2 linked regions of the Lytechinus pictus genome follow. The protein of the gene in region 1 interacts with the protein of each later gene in a pairwise test. Links are inferred from orthologs where the notes say so. Each region holds a gene or a part of one and is shown on either strand. Other genes may lie near its edges.

Evidence for each region. The genes of interacting proteins can lie anywhere in the genome.
Region 2: the proteins of phosphatidylinositol-3-phosphatase SAC1-B-like (region 1) and vesicle-associated membrane protein-associated protein A-like interact in a two-hybrid assay, tested with the Drosophila melanogaster proteins (2 studies listed by BioGRID). The link is inferred for Lytechinus pictus from reciprocal best matches to the Drosophila melanogaster genes Sac1 and Vap33.

The regions. Positions count from the first base shown.
Region 1 is NC_087246.1:55,294,959-55,302,348, reverse strand, and holds the start of phosphatidylinositol-3-phosphatase SAC1-B-like, read right to left. Parts: upstream 3,002-7,390; 5' UTR 2,811-3,001; intron 1-2,810. UniProt on the Drosophila melanogaster protein: Phosphoinositide phosphatase which catalyzes the hydrolysis of phosphatidylinositol 3-phosphate (PtdIns(3)P) and phosphatidylinositol 4-phosphate (PtdIns(4)P). Has low activity towards phosphatidylinositol-3,5-bisphosphate (PtdIns(3,5)P2).
Region 2 is NC_087246.1:37,607,334-37,614,550, forward strand, and holds the start of vesicle-associated membrane protein-associated protein A-like, read right to left. Parts: upstream 3,007-7,217; 5' UTR 2,838-3,006; coding exon 2,780-2,837; intron 1-2,779.

The DNA.
Region 1 (7,390 bases):
CCACTTGGTATCTGTCACTGTATTACAATTATAATTGGTATAGGCCTACGTACGTCAAAATGTTGATTTTCTTGAAACGGCCACTCATATGTTTTTAACACACATGATGAAGGAGAAGTCCCACAAAATAAAGTTAATAAGACATGCAGTTTGTAAACTTTATAAATACATACGATTCGGCAGCAGATTTGGGAATTTTCCAGCCTGAAACAATAAAATTAATGCAGATTATTGTTATCGTCTGCATGCTCAGATAAATGAAAGTTTTCCAAAAATGTAATGTAGAAAAGTAGGCCTATTGTATTAGGAAAATAGCTATACAGAATATGAATTTTAACAATAAGCATAAGAAACTTTGTTTTTCTTTTTCATTCGGAGTTTTCTCTATTTTATTTCATTCATAAAAGCGAATTAAAAGCGAAGAGGAAACTGTGATTGAACTTGTTCCCGGAACTTGTTCCCGGAACTTGTTCCGTAGTGTGTTCCGAGTTAGAAGTAAATTGCAAACTAAAGATTGTGGTACCAGCGATTAAAAATGATTCAAAATAAATGGGGGAAATTATTGATTCGGATGTAAAATAAAGTTCGAAACTTAGCAGATCAAAATTGTAAAAATTAAAAAAATAAATAAATAAAACGGGGTGTAGGTCCAGCAATCGTGATGATACGGTCGTAATGAAATTAGTGTCCCTGTATATGAAATACTATACAGGCGCCCTCTCTCTTCGCTCTGCACAGGGACTCGTCCGTGATAGGCTAAAAGTAGGCAAATATATTAATAACGGTGTGGTGTAGGGAGGACACATTTTCAAGGACCAGTATCTTCTCAGCTCTATCAAAAAACCTTCCTCCTTTTTGAGATCCCAAACCACTCGGTTAAAAATCCACCGGTCTTGTTATTTGCATCCGCCAAGCAATTATGAAAAACAATTCAATTCAATGACCGCGTGCAAGGACAAACATTACTGTATAATTGCCATCGTAGTAATACAATTATGATTTTTATGGTGATGATGATGATGATGGTGGTGGTGGTGGTGGTGGAGGTGGTGGAGGTGGTGGAGGTGGTGGTGGTGGTGGTGGTGATGATGATTTTGGAGACGGTCATCACCATTATTGTATTAATTAACAACACGAGGCCGTCCCAGACCGGTCTATAACAGTTGATTATTAGAGCATTACGATCCATTTCGGCCAGCCATTTTTAGCCCACATAAGGATTTAATAGGCCAAGGGTGGATAAGGTCGAATAAATAGAAATATTGAAGCTATTCTTGTGGTACCGTATTTTGGTTTTCTTTGCCATTGATAATTTGCAGAATTTTCACTACGAAAAAAAAAAAAAAAAAACTTCCCATGGAGGATAACAAAAATAAAATTAAGTTTTTGTCCAAGTTATGATTAAAACAATTCATTTTTCATCATTCTGTAAGCATGCCACGGGAGTTGTATGTAAGTTTGATTTGTTTTCTCAAAATAATGACCAAGACACACGTTTCCATGTTTTCTCACCCCCCCCCCCCCCCACTTCACAGATTTTTTTTTTATTTGAAAGATCGAGGGCAGTCAATCCTTTCCTCAGAATAATTAGTAGACATGAGTGTTTTATTAATTACTTTGCCCCCTTGTAGCGCCACTATACCTCTGAGGCATGATCAATATTGTGTATTTATATTGTGGAGCATTTAGGCCCATGCAGTGGATTAGTCTCCGGACTTCGAAACAGAGGGTCGTGGGTTCGAATACCAGCCATGGCGTAATTTCCTTTGTCAAGAACTTTATCCACATTGTGCTGCACTCGACCCAGGTGAGGTGAATGAGTATCCGGTAAGATTTTTCATTGAATGCTTTATTAATATGGCGGCTCAGCTACAGCCGGGGTATGATACCATGTATCAAAGCGCAGTTGAGTATATGCACATAGTAACTGCGCTGTATAAATGGACATATTATTTCTGAGGGAGTTTACATGCCTGTTTACATGTTGTTAAAAAATGTTCATCATAATTCGAGCAATGATCATGCATAAGTACCGTGCATATTTACGTAAAAGTGGATAAAGAACGTGGTATAGAAACGGAGATGACAAAACATGATGAGGTCAATACAACGGATGTTATCATAGGGAAGAGATGTAAGAGCTAAACATTTCACGTCGTTTAATAGTTTCATCGACCAATAAAAAATGTATAGTATCCAAATATCGTAAAATAGTTGAGATTATTATAAAACATGCTCATTCTCAGGGGTATAATCAAACTGGTAAACGGTCGTAGGCGTAGCTTTGGTTACAGCTATATACATACCGATCGATTGTACCGATTTAACTGCAAGAAATTGAATGATTAAACCTTTTATTCTACAATGGAAATTATGGCAAACGTTTACAAGTTTTCACGTTTAGGATTTTTTTTTCTCAAAAATAATTCCACATCTTATGATAATAACAGTTCTTCTGGGATGGACGCGTATAGCACCTAAGGGTCTCTCAGGAAAAGCTGAATATAACAATCGGATCCAGGAGTTTTCGAAAAGGGAGGAAAATTTTGACAAGCCCCCCCCCCTAAAAGGGGGGTTTTAACTAAAAAAATAAGGGGATTTCGTCCACGAAAAAATTGACAAGCAAAAAAAAAAGGTCTTCGCTTTCAAAAGGGGGCCACACTTCTGTTTTAACGGCATTTTTACATTACAAATTTTAAATTGTGTCTCTCAAGGGGGGGGGGCATGGGCCGGCTGTGCCCCCCTTCCTGGAACCGCCAGTAATTATAAACATCAAAGAATATCAAACATACTTTGAACATATAACTTACTTTATCTCTGAAGCGAAGGAGGTGGGTTTTTTGCTCAAGTTGGGTAATATTTCGTAAAATTGGCGGGAGAGAATTCCACTGTGCTGCTATGGTGCAGCTTTCTGGAAAGCCCGATCCCCAGACTTGGTCTTGACAAAATTTCAGAGAGACAATTTTTTAACACATCCCATGGGATGTATGCGATCTTATGCAGAAAACGTTTGTTGTAATGATGACTTTACTTGTTACAGTATGTCGTAATGTGTTACATCATGCATGGCCATAAGGGGGGGGGGGGTCAGAATAGTACAGCATGGAACTTCTAGTAGGATCCATGGAAGAACTCTCTTTGAATGATATTGAGTCAATACAGGAGAGATTAATTTCCTTCTATAAAATCTCGCATTCTGAACTCGTACGTACAATCATTCTGTGATGCATAGAAATGATGCAGGAAGTTTGTGATATCCATAAACAATAGAGGTAGGTGCGTGACTTCCGGTTGCTCTTTTACCTCGGTGATCCTCCTCTTTCTCAACTTCCTTTGTTTTGGGTTATAACATGTGGAGGAGAGGTGATTGCTATCGCATCCTAACAGACCCATCTACCAATTATCTGGTCGTTTACTCGATGCCCTCTCCGATGGTTTCTAAACTCTCTCACCTTTTGTTTTAGCCTGTTTGAGGTCATCTCGAAGATAATCCCGCACAGTCACAACAACGAAACCGACTCCAGAACGATCAGAGCTACGAGCCTATTACGTTATTCAATGTACGGGTATCGGTTGGTTTGGTATTAGTCTTGATTATGTGACTGCCGCATGAGAATGTTAATTTCGATCGATGGGGATCATGGATTGCAACATCCCGCCAAAATTATCAAATCCTTTCTTTATTTTCTTGATTCAAAATGAAGAGAAAATGTGAATTTGATCGCGTAGACAATATTGTTTTATGGAGAATCAGCAGTATTGAGCTAAAATAGATCTAGGATGAGACGTTATGATTAATAATGGTATCGAATTTTAAATATATTTTGTTGTTAATTACCTATAGTGAAACATATAAATACCAAAATACAACAATAGCAGTTTACGGTCGAGTGAGTCCCTGTCCTGAAATGCGGTTCGACGATTCCCAGTGGCGGACCAACGGAAGGGGGGGGGGGGGGGGCTGGGGCTGCCAGGTAAAAAAAAAAGTAAAGGACCTAGCAACCCCAAATTACCTTCATTTTATAGTGAACTTTTTGTTGTTGCTTGTCACTGAATTTCTCGGTACCAAAATGATGATTTATTTTATTTAATAATTTAAAAAATTCATCTAAATTTTTTTTTATGAAAAACCTCCAAATGTATATACTTTCAGCGATTTTTAAAAAGTTATATAAAGAAAAATTTCATTTCATTTTTTCCTTCATTTTTTAAAATGGAATCAGAGTGAGAATGACAAGTGAATTGTGCGATTTATTTATTTATGAAAACCGGGAAAAGCTGTAAATTATATAAAATCCGCGGGAGGAGAAGATACAGAAAAGTATGCACCCTCTAAGTGTCATTCGGTAAATACAAATGGATGTACAAGGGGCATTATGAATTTTGAAATAGAATGTTATATAAAACAGTGAACCTAGGAAATTATAAAACAAATCATATCGTTGTCATATTATGCTGAAGTTCAAGTCAACCACCACCTTGAACACAACAAGTTGACTAAAATTTCTTAAAAAGCGGCTGTAGATATACCATTTTCAAGTTTACCTTATTTTCTCAAAGCAGTTACATTAAAGAAGACAACACGGTCAGATATGCATCAATTATTATTGAAAGAACATCACACACCGTTTATTTACTTTTGTAATTGTTTTTATTTTATTGATATGACATAAGGAAAATATTGATAAAATATCATATTACGTCATATGGGTTACAAAACGCAATTCCACATGTTTATAGACAACAAAATCAAACCAAATTGTTTTATAACGAAGAAAAATTGAAATGTATTTATCGTGTTTATTAAACCAAAGTCGCCCAAAATTAGTTTTTATTTTTTATGAGATGAAAATAAGCAATAAGCTTTATAACTAACTTGTCAAAATTGGTCAACAACAACCCACACTATTATACTTGATCGTATGGAGAAGAAACAAGGCGAGAGCTTCAAAAATAACTTAGAAGTTCAGGGCCCACTGCAATCTGAGTGAAATTTCCAAGCATTCCCCAAAAAACTTGTGCCACAGAAACTCTTGTACCTTGTTTTATATTCAACTCTATACAACTTGACATTTTGGCATTATACAGAAGAAGAATTACTCTTTGAGATAAGCTGTGTTTTTTTCTTTCAATTTTTGTTTTTATAAAGACCAAATTACTATTCTGGCTAATACAGAGAACCTTCTCTGGCGACCTTTTGTTGGTTTTGGGGTAGCTTGTCACATATTAAAAAAATAATGTGTGGGCACTCATGCGTAGGTTTTGAGCTATGTTATAATTATGCTGGTCTCATCAGCGACAGATGATGGACTGATCAATGGTATACGTGGAACCGTCTTTTTTTTAATTCTGCGACAAGCCCCCCCCCCAAAAAAAAAAAAAATAACCGTGGGAAAGTTATCAACTTTATAAGGAGCATGTTCCCGTATATAATTTTCTTTTTTGGGCAAGCTAAATAAAATATATACATGCGTGTGTTTCACTCCCGTCATACTCCTTTAAAAACCAAAGAAAGGGCTCCATTTTTATGCTCATTTTCGGAGTCGTTTTTCAAATATGCACACTTCCCCACAGGGATGGGACACGGGTATTTCGGATTCCTGGATCTGCCACTAGGTCTTATAGTTTTTTCCCCCTCGTTTGCTTTTCATGTTTACCCCCCCCCCCCCCCATGATTTAAGCAACTTTTCTTTATTTATATTAATTTCATGATTTTTTTTGTTCATTTTTGTTGGTTATACTGAACGTGCACGGACCCCTTTAGATCAATATCAACGTGTTTCCGGTATTATGGCATTATAGGCATGTCCCTTTCACATTCCTTTAAAAATAACTGAAGGCAATGAAAACCACACAGTAATTTCTTCAGCTGAATTAAACTTGATCGTTGACTACATTTTTGGTGTCAGGAGTGGGATACAGACTATAATTTCTCAGCTCCTGATATTTGTCTACCGGACTCATCATCTATGATAATCACGGTGTTTTGTCCAATTTTGATTATTACTGAAACTGATTCTAATGCTGGTGGTGGATAGTTTTGTCATTGGCATAGAAGTTTAGATAACCCTTCCATTAATCTTGCTGATTTAATGTCTTTTCTCATGTCATGTCTTCAACCACAACGCACATCAAAGTCTGTCGTCTTCAGCTGTGTGTTAAGAGAACTCATGCTCTATACACACCAGCGTTCTTTAATTAACTTCTCCATTATAATAGCCCCCGAAGATAACTAGCCCTTTCCACCACCCCTCCTCCTCGTCTCTATATCCGAGGAGAATACTATTGTACATCCCTTCAGCATCTTTGAAAGACAGCGCTGCTCATTTCTTTGATCGGTGGCTAGTCAGGTGTGGAGGAGACATTTTTAAATACCCGGTTTTATCGGGAAGAACACAATGGACGGGGTGCGGCTATTGTATTCGTGGGTCATTGAGCGATCATCTCAAAACAGGCCGGTATTTTCTGTCGCTTTTGGTTAGAACGAAGCGATAGATCTGCTCCTTTTTTTTTAAACTGCGACATACAAGGGCTTGGAAACGAGGAATGGAGCAAGTCATCGTTACCATGGCAATGGCAACAGCAGGAAGCGGAGTGGCAACAGGTGATGCGACGCCATGATGTGTTGAGAGTTCAGAGAAAGAGAAAGACAAGAGAGAAAGAGAAAGATTGAGGGATGGAGAGACATACTGAGATAGAGGGGGAGAGAGATAAAAAGAAAGAAAGAAAAGTAGGGAGAGGGGGGGGGGGATTACATAAGAAAAAGAAAAAACTTCTTTGTTTCTTCATAGATAATCATGGTTCACAGCCAGATAGGTCTATAATGCTTATATAAGTAACATTCTTATCTCCGATCTGAAAGAATAATGCTCATGCAAGCAGTTATGATAAATAATTATTTTTTTTTAACAAAGACGTCGGAAACATTGTGAGCATGTCATCAATTCACTATCTGCAAATAATCTGCATAATATGACTAATTTCATGAAATATGCCTAAAGACTTTGATTTCAATATTAAAACACAATTAAATACTATTTGGTAGTAAAGTTTCAGATCCCATCGCCCAGGGATGAAACTAAAAATTGCCTTTAACAAAAAATACAACGTAAAAATGAATTGATCGTTATCGATATCAAAGATTGTTCCAGAATCGTACTCTTTCAAAGTGCTTACAATGGATGATACCAACATAGAGTTTAAGGGATTCGGATGGGACTTTATTAGACTATTGAAAAAAAGACTAATAAAGTAAAACTAAAGTGATTGTATTACAAATTACATTGTTTATGAATATTCACTATCTTCAAATACTCACTGTCTCCCTATGTCATCTTATTTAAAAAAAAATAAAAAAAAACACCTATTCGTTAAACTTGGACATATTAAG
Region 2 (7,217 bases), about 18 Mb from region 1:
ATATACATTTGTTGTTGTTTTAATATCAAGTTTATGTATATGATCATGATTTATTCTTGTGAATGTTGCCTTACAAGTCAAGGTCAGGAGTGAAAACCTGGGGCTATAGTACTCTAATAAAATTTTCTTTCCACAGATAACTTGGACTTTTACTTAAAAAAGATCCCCATGTTTATTATGAAAACAAAGCATAAATGAATGGAACTGAGTACTTTTTTTTTATATAAAAGTGATAATTGAAAGATCTTTTTTATTTGTATTGTGTGTTGGCTGTTACATGAACTCACCAGACAGGTTGGGTGCAGAGAGCTTATTAGTAGCCTAAGTTGGGCCTTGAAATTTAGGCCTAACTGTATTTGGCAATGAATTCAATATTTAAACAATGATCTAATTGACTAGACATACTATATAACTTTATTATATCGTCTCTTTGACTTTAGAATGAATATAGACTATAAGTTAGACCAACCTAGATCCTAACGTAGATCTAGACATATTCTTGGCTGAAATCTGTTCAAATTATTGTCGTATGCATTAACTACCACAAATTCTTACTGGGTAATTCTTGACTGATCAATTATGATCATAGAAAAATCGACAAAATATACCAATTTATAGTTGTTGTTTTTTGTAAGTAACTATGTGTGCATTTCAATTGGGGGCGTGCGGGAACTATTAAGGGCATTCCACAATTAGAATGAAATTTATGTCATTTACACCAAATTTTGCAGACTTTTCTTCAGCAGCGGAATATTTAATATATTATGCAAAAATTGATATGGGTTTATGAGCTTGATATTTTGCTATTGAGCTTTTATTTCTACCGAGTTGAAACTTCTCAAAAAAATTACTGCGCATTCAAATGAATTTGGCATTTGTATCAATGTGGGAAATATTCCAAACCACTCCACCATTTATTCGAATACGATGTCATATTTGTCATGCTATACAGCACTTAAGATTAGAGTAAAGTATTCAGAAATTGCATTTAAAAGCATTGTTTTGTGGATTATTTTCAGTTAATTAGCTAGAACGGATCTGCAGTTAGATTGCAAAACATGTGAAAAATCAGCTGATACCTATAGCTGATTACTAGTAATCGCATGTTCATCCATTGTGACGTCAGTGTGCATAGCGTAGCACTGTTTGTGACGTCAGTGCGCGTAGTGTAAAATATGCGCAGGACATGATGCGCACAAACATAATACGAGTTAACGTCAGTATGCTTCTCAGGAATTGTGCGAAAAAGAGTTAACGTCAATATGTTTTTGATAGATATCTTGATAAATATTTGAATTCGTGATTTCTCGATTAGACCAAACGAAAGAGTAAGAAAAACTCTAAAAGATGATATGTAAAACAAAAAATCGACCTGGGGACGAAATTTTTGAGTTAACGTCACTATGCTTCTCAGGCGACGATGTGGTCAGAGTCGATGCTTGCTCACAAGTTTCTCCCCTATTTGGTTTCCTTAGCATTTGAGTTTAAAATTTGTGGCTTTGAATCAGGACCAAGTCTGTCTATTCTGTCTACTGTGTTGTTAAAATGAATTCAGTTTAATTCAGTCCAAAACTGCAAAAAAAACCTTTAATAGTTTAAATGCGTTTTTTGGTCATGCATGTGTACAGCAATATATTTGTCTGCCCCCCCCCCCCCCCCCCCCGGAAGAGATATCTACACGACACGCTGGTTCCCATTTTGAGAACATGTTGAAAATAGTAATGTCAGATTGTCAGTGTCCAGTCATAGACCTACAGTGGGTGATTTCAAGTATGGTGTTGTGACTTAACACCAACACCAGCTACAACACCGTACTTGAAATCCGGCTGGTGTTGGGACTGATTTATCTTCATATCAAAGACACTACAAGGGAAAGACTAGGCACAAAAACTATTTTACACGTAACTCGATGCAAAGCGTTACGCGAAGTCGGACGTCGGCAAAGTGTCCAGTCTTTTTACTGTAATTAGACTTTGGTGGAACGTTTATTGACAAATGAACGGTAGCACTGCAGGCTTAGTTCAAGGTACGTAGAATTTTCTATTTTTGCTTAATTTGTCATCGCTTTGAATGTTTTCCAAAATGTATTATCGTCAGCAAAATTAATACAAAAAGTATGTTTTTTAAGTTATTGCATTTATTGTTGTCTTTATGATTTATCAAACAATCATGGGAATTGCGCATACAATGAATCAAGAATCTCGTTTGAAAAATACAGACAAGCTGAATTAAGGTTGTGAATTGTACTATTACTTAGCGCCAACGACGACCTTCTTTTTATTTCCGTGGAAGAGACATGCGAAGCAACTTTTCAGGCCGGGCCGAGGTAAGCAATTTTGCTCTTTTTCATGTGGTTTTATATAGAAAAATGTTTGTAAAAATAAATGAAAATGGAATGTTTTTCACCAGAAAAAGCCCTGGTGAGTAGCGGAATGAGTTTCGGCTAACTAACAACATTATTCCCGTTATGAAGCGATGTTAACCGACAACTCTAAAATCCATTGCGTAAACACGTTCGTCATGTTCGTAATCGTAGTCATGGTAGTGCGAGGTTAAAAACCTCGCAATACGTGTGAGTGCTCTGAACCCAGCTCGGTGTTGGAGCTCGGTTCAGCAGCCTTTTTATGCTCTCAACAGACATGACAGACAACACCAACAACATCGGACACCGAACTTGAAATCACCTAATCTTAAAATCACCCAATGTATGACTATGAGTACGGTACCGGTATGATTGATGGATAATGAACAGGGATGAAAAAAAGTATTATTTTCTTACCTCGGAAACGGAGTTCCGTGGGTGGTTTGATCGTTAGGAGTTGATCTGGCTTCGACATTGCTGTGATATTCGTCTAACTGTTGGAGCGATAGGGCAAGAAGATTATGGTGATGAAGATAAAGAAAAATATTACGACCAAGCAGAACTTCGCAAGATAAAACGCCTATCCCGTCACCGGTGATCAAAGTTAGTACACGTCGGCCATAGATCTAACACTACACAGAATTGACTGATATACATTTCGCTGCGCTGCATAATACGTACCGTACGTATATAACACACCCGATCAAGAGTTTACGAACTCGTGTGTACACGTTTTCAAAGTACAACCCGGAACCAGCGAACAATTACTTTATTCGTAAATTGCATTGTGGGCACTATAGTCACGGGTTGTGTTTGGTCTTTACAGACTAGCAAGCAAGTATGAGAAGGGGCATGCACTTATATGATGCAAAATGTAGTAGATGTAATGGATCTAATGCATATTTTAGTAAAGCAGCTTTTATTTTTATTGATATGCAAATGATTATTGAGGAGACATATTTGTTGAAAATGTTATTCTGGCATATTAAAGTCTATATCTTCACAGGAGCTCTAGCCTGTTAAAAGTTACCTCACCCCTTTTCGTACTTGACTTGTATTCAGAATTGGATGTCGTCTTTTTGGCATCCCTTTGAGCAAAATGGCATTTTTGCTGAATCGCAAAACCTAAGTTTGCATTTTTCTCGTGGAAAAGATAAGAAGGGACACTACTCTACACATTACATGTAGAGAGTGGCTGCATGGTACATCAAAGCCTATACTATATAGCCCCCTATAGCCCCGGGGCCGGGTAGCCCCCGTTTGGAGAAAGAGGCATAGGCGGCGGAAGCGGGGGGACGGGGTCACTGGAATTGAATTTGGTTTGGAGCAGATTACTTAATTTAATTCTAATTGATTCATGTAGCAATGATCCCAAACTAACTGAACTACAAGATTGAGAACAGTAGCCCATAGTTAAAACATATCTGAAATATTTAAAAATATTGCAAAAATCTTCATTTTGTTATGAATAATGCATATTTAATCCCATTGTAGTTTGATAGAGTGCCACATGCTCATCAACACAAAATCATTTTATCGTCTCAATTTTTTAATATCTACTTGAGATGGAAAGGGACATTGGTCATGGGTGTATTTCTATTTTCACAGTAATAAGATAACACATTGTTTAAGCCTGTCACTCTAACAACAAATTGTTTAATTTTTTTGTAATTGTTTAAGCTTTTTAAACAATTGTTTAAAAGATAAAAACAGATGTTTAAAAGTTGTTTGAAACGTTTAAATATTATTGGAGTGACGGGCTTAAACAAAGTGCAATGAGCTATCACTCAGCAGTGACGTAACTACGGGGGATTGGGGCACGTGCCCCCAATCGGCTGCCCTCGCCCCCCCCCCCCACACACACACAAAAAAAACGAGGGAAAAGGAGAAAAAGAGGGAGAAAGAAAGAGAAACCTATTGTGGAAATAATAAATTATTGTATATTTACTATGATATATTATATTACTTATTAATTTTTTTTCATTACTTTATGAAAAGAATTTGCTTAGACCCTATGTGTCAATCACTCCTGGTGCTCGCTTTGTCTGTTTAATGAGATTGAAAAATAAAATCATGTTAAAGGGAATTATATGGTACTAAACTTTCCGTTTTCAAGTCAATATACACATTTCATTTCCTCGCACTTCGAATTTTTATTATTCTATATAGTGAAATATGCTTCTTTTCACGAGTAGGCCTACTTTAAGTGATTGCCCCTTTTAAGGTCTGAATATAAAACATTTCCAGTCCGTACTTACGTTCGCATTAGTAGATTGGTGATATAAATTTGCTCTTCATGAATTCCTAAAAACAGTCTTTAAAGTGCCCTTTTTAGGTCTGAATATAAAAAATTTCAGCTCGCGCTTCGCGCTCGCATTATTTTCTTAGTTAAATACATAAGGTCTTAATGAATTCTTACAAAAAAGCCTTAGAATGCCCCTATTCTGGTCTGAAATTCAAATTTTCGGCTGGCGCTTCGCGCTCGAAAAAGTGATTCATGTGTATAGGTGTAATTCTTTTTAAAAAAAATCAGCAAGCGCTTGGCGCTCGCATTAGATGACGAACTTCATGAAATCCTTTAAAAAATAGTCTTAAAAATGTTTTTGTGTGAGGTCAATAAATACAAAAATCTCAGCTCGTGCTTCGCGTTCGCATTGTTTGTTTAGTGAGATAGGTAGGCTCCTACGTATCATGATTACAAAATTTTGCTTTTGATGCCCCTTGTTTAGGTCTGAATATCAAAAATTTTCAGCTCGCGCTTCGCGCTAGCGTTATTTCATCAGTGGGATACATATCTGTTTAATGCCACAGTCTTTAAAATGTCTCTATTAGGTCAGTATACCTGGAATATTTAAATAAATGGGATAACATCAATCATTTTGGTCATTATGTGTGCACTCAATTCCTTTTATTAAACAAAGGCAAAAAATGAAAAACAAACAGGTTGAAAATGTGAGGGCACATAATTCCTCTTTTAAAAAGGGCACTATTTTTGTCCCCCCCAAAAGAAGGAAAATTGATGAAAATAACATAATAGGCCTATATAATTTAATACGCATGTGTTGGGTACCCGGTATAGGATGCGAAAGCCTATATCATGTAGTATGCCTAGCAAGACCTTTTGTTAGAATGCTCCACAGGGAGTGGAGAAAGTTATAGGTCTATGGCATGCGCGACGGACAGGGGTAATGTAAAGCTCTTCGTTCCGATGTAAAGCGTTATATAAAAGCGGATTGTAATTATATTTATGGGCATATGTATATATATATCAATATATATATATATATACATGTATATCAAATCAAATATGTATAAGTTTCATAAGCAAATTATACAATAACTGAAGTATTGTCACAGATTTATACATGTGTACAACGTTCATCGAGGAAGAAATTATTATTTTTTGTTTTACTCCCGTAGGAACTCGGCAGGACAGCATTTTGCTGATATACGCCAAGGTGGTAGGTATATAATCACTTTACGTCAAGGTTAATCAGTCATAATGGCTGATCTTATAGACGACACATATTACTCTCGGGCTTTTTTATCAAAGTGGAGACGATGGCAAAGTGGGGATTAGAACTCACAACCTTGCGATTATGATTCCAATGCTCTAACCACTGGACCATTATTTAATAATGATGTAGGCCTATAGTGATTATAAAGAACATATAACTTGTCTCTATATAATACAGATTGAAATTCATAAGAATCTGAAATGATATGAGAGAAAAGCAAGATAAAAAATAAAACAGGTGGAGTGTGTCCATTCCACCATCCCCACGAGGCCTCGATCGATCGAGGCCTCGTGGGGATGCGGCCTAGCTTTGTCATCATCACCCAATAATTTGCGGTCGAACAGTTTCCGGGTACGCGCCGTACCTAAACCCTAGTCTGCTGTCCTACACAGACTTGCGATTGATCCGATCAATCGTAACTATGGAAAGCCAGCAACGATCAACATCTAAAATACAAGTTTTGTTCAAAATATTTTCTAGAAATGATGTAAATTCATACATTCACTGTTTTTTCTTGACAATGCGGTATGCTTCTCTTTGTTTTCAAAAGACATTGAGCAAATCCTGAAGAAAAAATTATGACGTTGGAGGATTTCCATATACTTGACAGGGGCCGCGGAATGAGCTAAAAGTGGGGGGGGGGGGCTGACCATGCAAAAAATCAAAATCTTTTGGTCATTTTTTCGATTTTGTACACAGTTTTTGAAAAAAGTTGGGGGGGGGGCTAAAGCCCCCCAGCCCCCCCCCCCCCGTTTCCGCGGCCCCTGCTTGAGAGTGATTTGATCAATCGCAACTCTTTGTAAGACGGGACCCGAGCCTGCTGTGCAAATCCTTCACTCGAGTTAAGGGTCTGAGTGTGCAGCCTACTCATGCATAGGCGGATCCAGGGGGGGCGATGGGCCCGCCCCCCCCCCCCTATTGGCGGAGCAAAAATAGAAAAAAGGAGGAAAGAAAGAAAAAAAAAGAAAGAGAAGGGAAAAGAGAGGAGAAAAAAGAAGGGTAAACATAAAAGGGGGAAGACGAGTGAATGAAATAAAACGAGGGGAAGAAAATAATAATAAAAGATCTTTCATGTCACTATATAAAATTTTCGCACTCGCATTGCCTTTTAGGTGATTTACATATCTTGCTCAATATGGAGCTTCAAATATCAAATTTTGAAGTCTATATACATGTATTAAACATATTTCAGCTCGGAAATCGAACTTTCATTATTTTGTTTGATTTACAAATTGATTTTAAAAAAGTGCTCTGTAAAAAAATTTAAGTTTTATGGTCTGAATATTAACATTTTCTGCTCGCACTGCGCGCTCGTAAAATTTGATTTGTCAGATACC